Xenopus tropicalis: one gene and its partner. The protein of the gene in region 2 binds, or shares a complex with, the protein of the main gene of each other region. Links are inferred from orthologs where the notes say so. Each region holds a gene or a part of one and is shown on either strand. Other genes may lie near its edges.

The links. Proteins that work in one complex are often made in the same cells at the same time.
Region 1: the proteins of sin3b (region 2) and phf12 are in contact, whole or in part, in a cryo-EM structure (PDB 8BPA), measured with the Homo sapiens proteins. The link is inferred for Xenopus tropicalis from reciprocal best matches to the Homo sapiens genes SIN3B and PHF12. Residues at the interface, in NP_056075.1 of Homo sapiens: Glu307, Phe311, Leu318, Glu322, Val323, Tyr324, Glu325, Asn326, Leu328, Arg329, Cys330, Ile331, Leu333, Phe334, Asn335, Glu343, Leu347, Pro350, Phe351, Lys354, Phe365, Lys395, Arg396, Glu490, Glu493, Leu494, Val497, Tyr545, Arg546, Ile547; in NP_001028733.1 of Homo sapiens: Leu20, Met21, Gln23, Ile24, Gln25, Leu27, Leu28, Pro30, Pro31, Lys32, Thr33, Asn264, Leu266, Val267, Leu269, Val271, Val273, Phe275, Thr276, Asn278, Arg279, Ser280, Arg282, Cys292, Pro293, Leu294, Pro316, Asn317, His318, Ile319.

Annotation. Positions count from the first base shown.
Region 1 is NC_030678.2:33,929,756-33,934,618, forward strand, and holds the start of phf12 (PHD finger protein 12), read left to right. Parts: upstream 1-1,752; 5' UTR 1,753-2,279; coding exon 2,280-2,333; intron 2,334-4,863.
Region 2 is NC_030677.2:111,954,327-111,959,298, forward strand, and holds the start of sin3b (paired amphipathic helix protein Sin3b), read left to right. Parts: upstream 1-1,851; 5' UTR 1,852-1,924; intron 1,925-1,937; exon of another isoform or gene 1,938-2,074; intron 2,075-4,124; 5' UTR 4,125-4,279; coding exon 4,280-4,357; intron 4,358-4,972.

The sequences.
Region 1 (4,863 bases), on a different chromosome or scaffold from region 2:
CTAGCTTCACTTATTATTAACATTCATTTATAAAGCAGGGATTTCATACATTGGACATACAGAGTAACATATAAAGCAATCAATAACCAATACAAGAGGTATTAAATGCTGCAAAATTATTAATGCCTACCCTAAACCTCCCTCACCAAAGATTGGATCCTTAAATAACAAGGAAAACTGGATTCACTTGGGGGTGCCAGTATGTTAGGCACCCACACTGAATCCAATTGCTTTGTTTTTTATCCCCTGGGCCATTGATCCTTTTAGGGAAAGGGGAAAGGTAAGAAAACAGTACTATTTTCTTACCTTTCCCAGTCATCCCTAGCACTGACACCATGAAATATGCATTTTGACCTACTGCACATACACAAGTCTATGCAACATATGTCTGAAATGGGGTAAGATGTTGGTGTCCTGAGCTGGTAATTTTTTTTCCCAAAACCATAAGAAAATAAAACCTTATTAAAAAAATTAATTAATGGGGGGGGGGGGCTAACACTGTAGAACCTTACACACAAGCCCTGCTCTAGATGCTGGATTTGCTATTCAGAGATCCTATAGCAACAGGCATGCCTGCTACTCAACGCCCAGCGATGATACAGGATTTTTAGTAAAATTGTCTGTCATTCTGATGTTTGTGTTATAGCCACCCATGATGCTTTTCACTCACGATTCATATTATGTAATATACGTGTGCAATATTGTACCTGTTTTCGGGATTTTAGCAGTTACTCAGATTTTTTTATTACGACGTAAAAGGAACGAACTACAACTACCACCATGCCATCACATTCGAACAATAGTCGAAAAACACGTTTTTACATTTCCTGTATCAATATCTGCTCTACACAGTTACACAAACTCTTCCTCTCCCACATAAATTCTGTACCGGAAGTGCCACCGCAGACTTCCGGAGCGCACAACTCAATGATTTGCGCGAACAATGTCTTTTTTTTCAACCAACTTTATTGAGAGGACATAAACATGCCACAAACGCGAGATTTTTTTTCATTCGTAAGACATAAGCAAGGGTTGGACGGAAATGAAATAGTGGCTGCCGATAACGTAAAGAATCATGTTGTAGCGGTGGTTCGACACTCCACTCTAGTGTAATGTAGCAGCAGCAGCAGCAGCCATGCTCTAGATTGTGTCGCCGGACTGCTCTGACGCATATTAAGCGCCGAAGGAATCCTCCTGCTCGTTTCATTCAAGACAATTTTGGGCGCGCAGCTAACAAAGAGAATGGATGTGCCGGCTGTCATGGTTGTGACAGCATACAAAGAAAACTCTGTTTAAACAGCAGAAATAAACAAACTAAACAAGAATAACGCACGTAACATGTTTATGTAAAAAGATGTGTGACGGCCAAACATTTTATTTTTATTTTACGAAATCTTTCTCTGCCACCTCCAATATGGCGCCCGTGTGCTCGCGTACGCCATGTTGCTTTAGGCACCAGAATGAGCGACAGAGCTCATGCTCAGAAGCGCACCAAAACAGTCCATTGTTTTCCTCCGTGGAACGAAAACGCGCTGCGCATACATTGTGACGGCACCGTCCCTCCTCCCTCACAGTCTAGTGACTGGCTAGCCCGTCCCCCCTCCCTCACAACCTAGCGAGTGCTGACCCCGCCCCCTCCATCACAGCCTAGCGAGTGGCTGGCCCCGCCACCCGATTAGCGCATGCGCAGACTGCTGTCTCCCGCGCAGTCACTTTGCGCCAAGTGCGCGGCCGCCGCTGGGGGAGGGGGAAGACGCACGTAAGCAGCTACGGAAGGGAGCCCTACCTCCATAGCGACATACCGACCTCCCGCCTCTTCCTTCACAGCTGGGTTGGAGCGCTTTTTTCCCCATTACGAATTGGGCCGCCATGGCCGGAGCTTTCTCGCTTCCTTTTACCCACTGTACCCTGGAGATGAGAGACCGGCGGCAGGTCGGCTAGGCCCTTCGTAGGCCTCGCCACATCCCCGGGAGCAGGGATTGACCGCTTCTTTTTATTTCTCGCCATTGCCTTCCAACGAGGAGCCCCTGAGGGTGCAGGAGCGGCCCTCCCGCCCGCAGCATTCTCCTGCCTCTCTCCCTGGATTAATAGCACCGTTACTCGGCCTGTCCCACCCCTGCTTTGGGCTCCACGGCTTCTCCCCGGGCCCCGCCGCCAGCACAGGCCTTGTCTCACTCCTGCTTTGGCCTCTGCTCCCCGGCTCTGCTACTTCCATCTCTGTCTCTGATCAATAAGCATCTGGCTTCGCCACTCGGGGCTCCCGCCAGTCCCCTATCAACATGGAGACCAAAACCATCGTGTACGATCTGGACACCTCTGGGGGTCTAATGGAGGTAAGGGGGGGCTTGGGAAACCTAATCATTTCATTTCTAATTCCTGAGTGACAGCTAAAGTTTGATAAGCAGCCCCAGCTGCTGCTCAGCCACAACCCTTATCTTATGCCTTCTCATTATTACATGTGTGGATCAGTACCTCCCAGTTAGCCTTGTCTGAACCACCACTGGGGAACCTCCTTACAGGCCTTGTATGTATGTATCTTTTTATACATACATACATCCCCACAAGGGGATCCCCACCAAACCACTGTTTTGCTTTTGCACAATGGAGAGGAATGTGAATATAAGCAACTTTCCCATGTTCGGTAATTAAAAAGTTTCACTGGTTAATCCTATTGTGAGTGGAATTGCTACTGGAAGCTTTATCTGCCTTGCGGTTTGTGCTTCCTGCTCGATTCTGACTCCTGTAACAATGTAGCAGAAACCCTGCCGGCTTGTAGGCCTGGAGACCTGGCCTGTTGTTTCAAGAGTCAGAATGCAGAGATGTAACTTTTTAGCTGCAATTACATTGACAAAAACCCTGAATGTTTTTAATTGCTTTGTATTGTAGAGTTGCTTAGAACAATATCATTCATTATGCAAAAAAGTTTTTGGGAGGAAATCCTCTTTGAACTCCCCAGTAATGGCGGTGGGTGTCATTTGTCCAGGGCATGCTGTGTGCATTCATATTTAAATGTGCTGGAATGTAGAGCTGGGCGGTATGACCAAAAATTTATATCACAGTATTTTTGAAAATGATATCAGTGTCACAGTATTTGACAGTATTTTTTTTTTCCATGCATGATTAGGTGTTAACCCCATTTCCTAATAAATTAGAGAATAATTACTGCAGTATTGAAAATCAGAGTCAGGCAAGCGAAGGATCGGCAACAGAAAGTCGTAAGGTAAATCAGGCAGGCTTAGTTTCCCACATAGCACAGGAGGAGGCGTTTGATAGCTTTAAATACCCCCACGCATGCGCAGAACCGGCGCCGTCAGTGAGTCGCGGACGTGCACGCTTTGACATGTATGTGCGCTTTGACACACGCGCACCTGGACGCGCGTGCGCAACGTCCCGCGGACAACGGGACGCACGCAAGACCGGGCAGCACGGGTGAGTACCCTGACACCCCGGTATTGTGGTATCTGAAAAATTATTATAGTTTTTAAAAAAAACACCGGTATTCGGTATTAAACGGTATATCGCCCAGCCCTACTGGAATGTTTCTTTTTTTGTTTTGTTTTGCATGCTTCTAGGTTACTGGACTCTGAGCAGCTCTGTAGCGCTTATACATAAAGTTCAATAAGTTGTTTTAGCAGGTATGACACTAGCGGCCTTGCTCTTGACTCAATATCTATTGCTTTCTACCTATAAGGAAGCATTACATATTTAAACCTGGTGCCGTTCTATGCTCATTTGTATATTATTTTTAACATTTACTAAGGAACATTCTGATTCGCCCTTGGAATGCCCTAGACTCCAGACACTTTATGTATTTGATTTTAGTTCCATTCATTTATTTTTTTTTTTTTTCAGGCCCACAGCAATGACATTAAAAGAAATATAAAGACAGTTTGCGTAAGGGTGATATGGCAGATATTAACATTACTTTGCACTACATCTAATAAATAACAGGCGCTGAAATGTAGACGTATTAGGTGTTTGTGCAATCTGTGTTGATGAAGTACAAATCCTATCATCAGTATTTTTCTGGGTGGATAAAGTGAAAAGAATTGTTCTGTCTTGTAGGAAAAGTTTGCATTTAATGTCTGCAGTGTAGTTATTTATAAATATGTGGGTTGTAGCCTTTTTGTCACCAATTCCATTCAGACCTATTGCAGCTACCGTAGTTTAAAAGTAAGAAATCATTTACATTTGCAACCCCAACATCTGAGTCTAGTGAAGTGGTTTATTTGTACCTCCTTGGAGAGAGATATGGACTTATTTTAATGTGTTAGCTGGCTCGGTTGGCCCAAAGAAATTGCTTTATGTGACTACTTCCTACACACATAATCAAATTGCTTGGTGTGCAAGAACATGTCACCTTTTATAGGGTAAAGGTGGCCATACACGGGCCGACTATAGCTGCCGATATCGGTCCCTTGGACCGATTCGGCAGCTAATCGGCCCGTGTATGGGCAGGGCAGAGCGGCCTGGCCGACCGATATCTGGCCTGAAATTGGCCAGATCTCGATCGGCCAGGTTAGAAAATCCGGTCGGATCGGGGACCGCATCGGCTCGTTGATGCGGTCCCCGATCCGACTGCCCCATTGCCGCCCACATAATCCGATCGTTTGGCCCCAGGGCCAAACGATCGGATTATTTTTTTTTTACCTAAATGCTCCCCGATATCGCCCACCCGTAGGTGGGGATATCGGGGGAAGATCCGCTCGCTTGGCGACATCGCCAAGCGAGCGGATCTGCTGGTGTATGGCCACCTTAAGGATCTGATAAGCTGGTTTAGCTGATAAAGAATCACAGCACAATTTAGCATCTGGTACGTTGGTGCTTTTTGTCTTTCTTTCTTGATGTAATTTAAAAGTCAGT
Region 2 (4,972 bases):
CTGCAAATCACCTTGATTGGTCATTTGTAGAGGGGAAAATGAACAAACCACATGACCCTCACCAACAAACTGGATCACGCAACCATAGTGTGATAAATGTGTCACAGCCTGGTAATTAACTTGTTATGTGCGTCACACTTCTCTTCTAAACTGATCAGACAAGACAGATCAGATGTCATGCACATTCCCCAGCCACATCCTCACCTCTGTTTCCAATCAATATTCTGCATTACTAGCCAGGTCAGATCACTAAGATGTGTGTGTTTTAGAAAAACCGAGCATGTGTGTCATGAGTGCATATATAACATCAATAAGGATAAAACACCAGTGCCCCCGGAAGTGTGTATGAAATAAATAGATTAATTTATTGCACATCTTAATATAATAGCAAAAATCTGCCAATAGGCTGGGAAGAATTCAGGATACTAAGTGCTTGGTCAGATTAGGCTAAGAAAGAAGCAGCAAAAAAAAAGCTTCTTGAAGGGAACAAAATGAACCATTTCGAACATCTGTTGACTATCATAAAAATATTGGTTATATCAGATCTGGGTAAGTCCATAATAAAAGTCTTGGACTAGGGGCGCTGCTGCCAAGAGGCGTGTTGAGATACTCAGAAGGTAGCTCCCCGCATCGGCTCGTTGAACTGTAGACTTTTGTGCATATGCCAATTGAGGAGAGGGGGAGGTCGAGGATGAGAGAGCCTGGGACTCTAAACCTATTTTTACAAACCAAATCTATGGATTTTTTTTACATGGGACTGGATTTTTGAATACCCTTAAGCCAGCTGCCAAAGCCCACTGAAACAAGCCCACGCACACATACAGGCCACAGACATGTGCATGCTCATTTGAACCTATCCACTCCCAATCCTGCTCTCAGTCGCTAGCTCCTACTGGCAGCACTGGGCACCCAGTGCAGACGTGGAAGCATAGTGTGCCACCCTAGGCCCAGGCCTTTCCACAAATCTATGCCTGCTTCTACAGCTGTATTATTTAAGCCATGATTATAGAGCTATTACTAAGCACAAATACCACAGGTTGAGGCTGGTTGTTTGACATACAATTACAAGCTTCCCTAAACATTATAACTGTTTCCAGTGCTTAGCAAACGAAAACAAGCTGAATACAGCTCCAATTAGGATTCTAAGTTATTGTCATATTCACACTACAGCAATGTACCATAGCAATCAATGATACAGAGCTGTCAAGTCAACCCCATCCAACTTTCCTGGACGTTAACAGATTTTGGACCTCTTTCCCCAATCTATTTTTACCCAAATAATTATACTTTAGGGTTCACACCTAGCTGTTAAAAGCTTTGTAAAGCCTGCTGTATTTGGCTATAGGTTACTGCTCACATACTACTTTGCTCATTGACAGTATAAATAAAACTGAGTGACATAAAGCAACACTGGGCAAATCTACACCTGCTGGGCACTGACCCTTAGCAACATATGCTTGCTTTAATTGAATTGCCCGCAGTCAGCCGGGAAGAAATCTATTCACTGATTGGCTGGAATGCTTTCCGCACTAAGTATAGTTGGATATGTGTAATACGCAAGTGGACCGATCTTTTGCAGTTTATAAATGCCTTTAGAGGGAGCTGAAAACTTCATTCATTAATTTGAGCGTCCCGCTTGCGTGCATAATTTCCTACTTCCTTTCCAGAGGAATTAACCCCGCCCTTTTTTGACCCAGTACCCTAGCCGAGTTCCCCCCCCTTGTCGCCAAATCACGTGATCTTGACATCACAGCAGGCCCTTCACTCTCACAGCGTTAGAATATGGTTAAGAGCGATGGTTGCGCCGAGTGCGTCCCCGCCGCCCGGAATATGTGGGCGCGCACTGGAACGCGCACGCAAGGTACGGATCATGGGAAACCTTCCTTCATGTATCACCGGACGTTGCTTCCATTGCTCAATCTTGGTAAATAATTCAAATGTCTCAGCATCCTTTTCAGCTTTGATTGCAGTGCAGAGGGTGGGCTGGATCCGCACGGTGTTGAAGACTGCGTTGAAGCCGAATGATTTACTCGTTCGGGGTTGAAATAGAGAAAGGGGCGCGATGATAAACCAGGCCAGTCGGCAGAAATACAAAATTACACGTACTTTTCTCCTGTCTCTCTGTGTGTGCTGTGTATTATCAGTCAGCTCGTCTAACATCCCGCTCCAGCGTCGCGTCTATTGCCATTCACTTCGTGACCCAATTCTAATTAATATCCAGGTTCTAATCTGCTCCTGTCACTTCTAATGCGCTCTTCTATCATACCCGTTGTTGTAAAGTGCTAAAGGGATTTGACTACATCATAACTCGATCATTCCTTTTCCTGTAGCATTATATATCTTTATTGTCTCCCTCATTGCAACATCATTTTTGTGTGTAGCCCCCATCACATACATAGTGGCTTGTGCTGCTTATCTTGTTCATCAGCATACCTTATTATGGGTACACAATGTGCATGTTAGGGGGAGGGGGGTATTCCAATGTAGTCTGTATCTGCTTTCCTTAGGTTGTTAAAAAAAAAAAAATGACAGTGTTACGGCCACCCCTGATAAAATGGCTCATTACTTGGTCTACTGGCAGTTTCATATGCCTCGGGCAAGAAGAAGATGCTCTTTCTGGTGCCCATGGGGTGAAACTAGAATAACTGAGGCAGAGATGTGTTTTTGTTAATTGCTAGAGGGATGTGAGTCCCTTAGAAGCAATTCAGATAAAAAAAAGGGGTTGTTTGACGATGCAAAGAAATCTGCTTGGTTAGGTATTTAAACCTTTGGAAAATGTTTTGTGTGTATATATAGGTGTTGTTTTTTAAACTAGAAAAAGCATGATCCCACCATAAGCCAAAGGCTGTCAGAGGTCCTATTTGTTGTTTAAATACAGCTTCTGGGCTATAGGATGATTGCCTTGAGCCCAAAATACCTGAGCAGACTATTCAGTTGCCATGGGGGGGGGGGGAGGGAGGAGGGAGGGCGCAGTGATGATGCTTGAAACTATTGAAATATAGGCTATACCATCAAGTTTAAGGGTGAAGAGACACAGAGCTACTAGTAGCAGCTACTTGTCGTGGCTACTAAAGTAGACAATGCTGACCATTTACTGATAATTGTATCTACATGTGTTTTAAGGTCCCCATACACGGGCCGACTATAGCTGCCGATATCGGTCCCTTGGACCGATTCGGCAGCTAATCGGCCCGTGTATGGGCAGAACAGAGCAGCCTGCCCGACCGATATCTGGCCTGAAATTGGCCAGATCTCGATCGGGCAGGTTAGAAAATCCAGTCGGATCCGGGACCGCATCGGCTCGTTGATGCGGTCCCCGAACCGACTGCCCCATAACCACAAATGTATTTTTTTTTTAAGTTTCTTGCTACCCGATATCGCCCACCCGTAGGTGGGGATATCGGGTGAAGATCCGCTCGCTTGGCGACATCGCCAAGCGAGCGGATCTTATAGTGTATGGGCACCTTTAGGCACTTCTCAGCATTGTCTATGGCAGGGTATCTTCTGGTGTTTAGTAGCCATGAAAAAGTAGCTGCTAAAAGTAGCTCCCTGTGTCTTCACCCTAAGCACCCAAACGAAGACCATTGTACTTAAAGGCACTGATACAATCTGCCATCACCATCGCCCATAAAAAAAAAAAAAAAAAAAACAGATAAGATAAAATCTTTGAGAATAGCAACATACTAAGGCTAATGCAGGCAACTTCATGCAACATCAGAAAATGAAGAGGCACCTACGCTTTTCCACAGGCAAATTACTTTGTTGCCGGTGGAAAGGAGAGAGAAGTCGCCTGCTGTAGCAGAAATTTATCGTGGGAGACTAATCTCCCCATGAGACATTACCCTTAGCCCTCAAATGCAAAGTGCCTATTTTGTCCATCATCCATAAATAAGGCCCATTGTGTTTCAAGCTTGTAGAAGTATTGATTTGATGGAACAGGTGTTAACTTGCTCTTGGCTCTTCTATAAATTTGTTTGTAAATGTCTGTATCTCTATTAACTAATTATTTTGTTTTAAACTATGAAATCCTGGGCAAAATTATCAATGAAAATGATCATTTTAAAACATGAAAAAGTATTTTTTAATTGTGCAAGATGAATTACATTTCTATTTTCTCTTTTTAGGAAATATTTGCAGCTGTTCCTGGTGTCCACAGGGAATTCTGAAGCAAGTGCTGGATCATGCTTCCCCAACTCCAAGTGCTTAAGCCTTTTATTAGACTTTCTTCTGAATAAGCCATTTCACTACTGTACCAAATTAAAAAAAAAAAAAAAAAAAAATGGCGAGTGGTGGAGGTGGTGGTAATTGCAAGCCAAATTCAAACTGGAGCAAACCTCAAGAAAAACTCCCAGTGCATGTAAGTATAGAAAGCAACCAGTTTGTTCCTATTGATCATAGATGTGTGTGCATTGTTACCTTATTGATACCTCAAGACATGATATTGTGCGTCCTTCTTTTAGGCTAGTGCCACACAGGGTGGTTTCTCGGCCTGAGAATCCACCCCTACACTCCAAAAAAGCTTTTGGTTGTTCCTTCACCCAGAGCCATTATGTTGGAGTTCAGTGCAATAATGCCCCCTTGTGCAGTTTTGCGCCAAATTCTGCTGTGTGCCTGTACCTGGGCTGGTGCAATGGCTCCTGGTGTAGGCACATTCAAAAGCTTTTTTTGGGCGTAGGTGCGTTTATCTGCATGCCAAGAATCTGCCCATGTAGCATTAGCCTTAGGTGTCTCTTTTACCCCAAAGTCATGCGTTCATTCATTCTAAACACTTGATATTCTCCTCTTTAAAGAACAATATACCCACTTGTCAACATAAGTGCAACAAATAGGACTTGTGCTGAGTATACTTACTGAATATACTGTTGTTGAAATCTAAAAAAAAAAACTATGCTTTACATTATTTTTGTTAGCTAAACAGGGAAACCAAAGCTACCTCATGTTTAGTTAGTTGCATGTTAGATAATTTGAATAC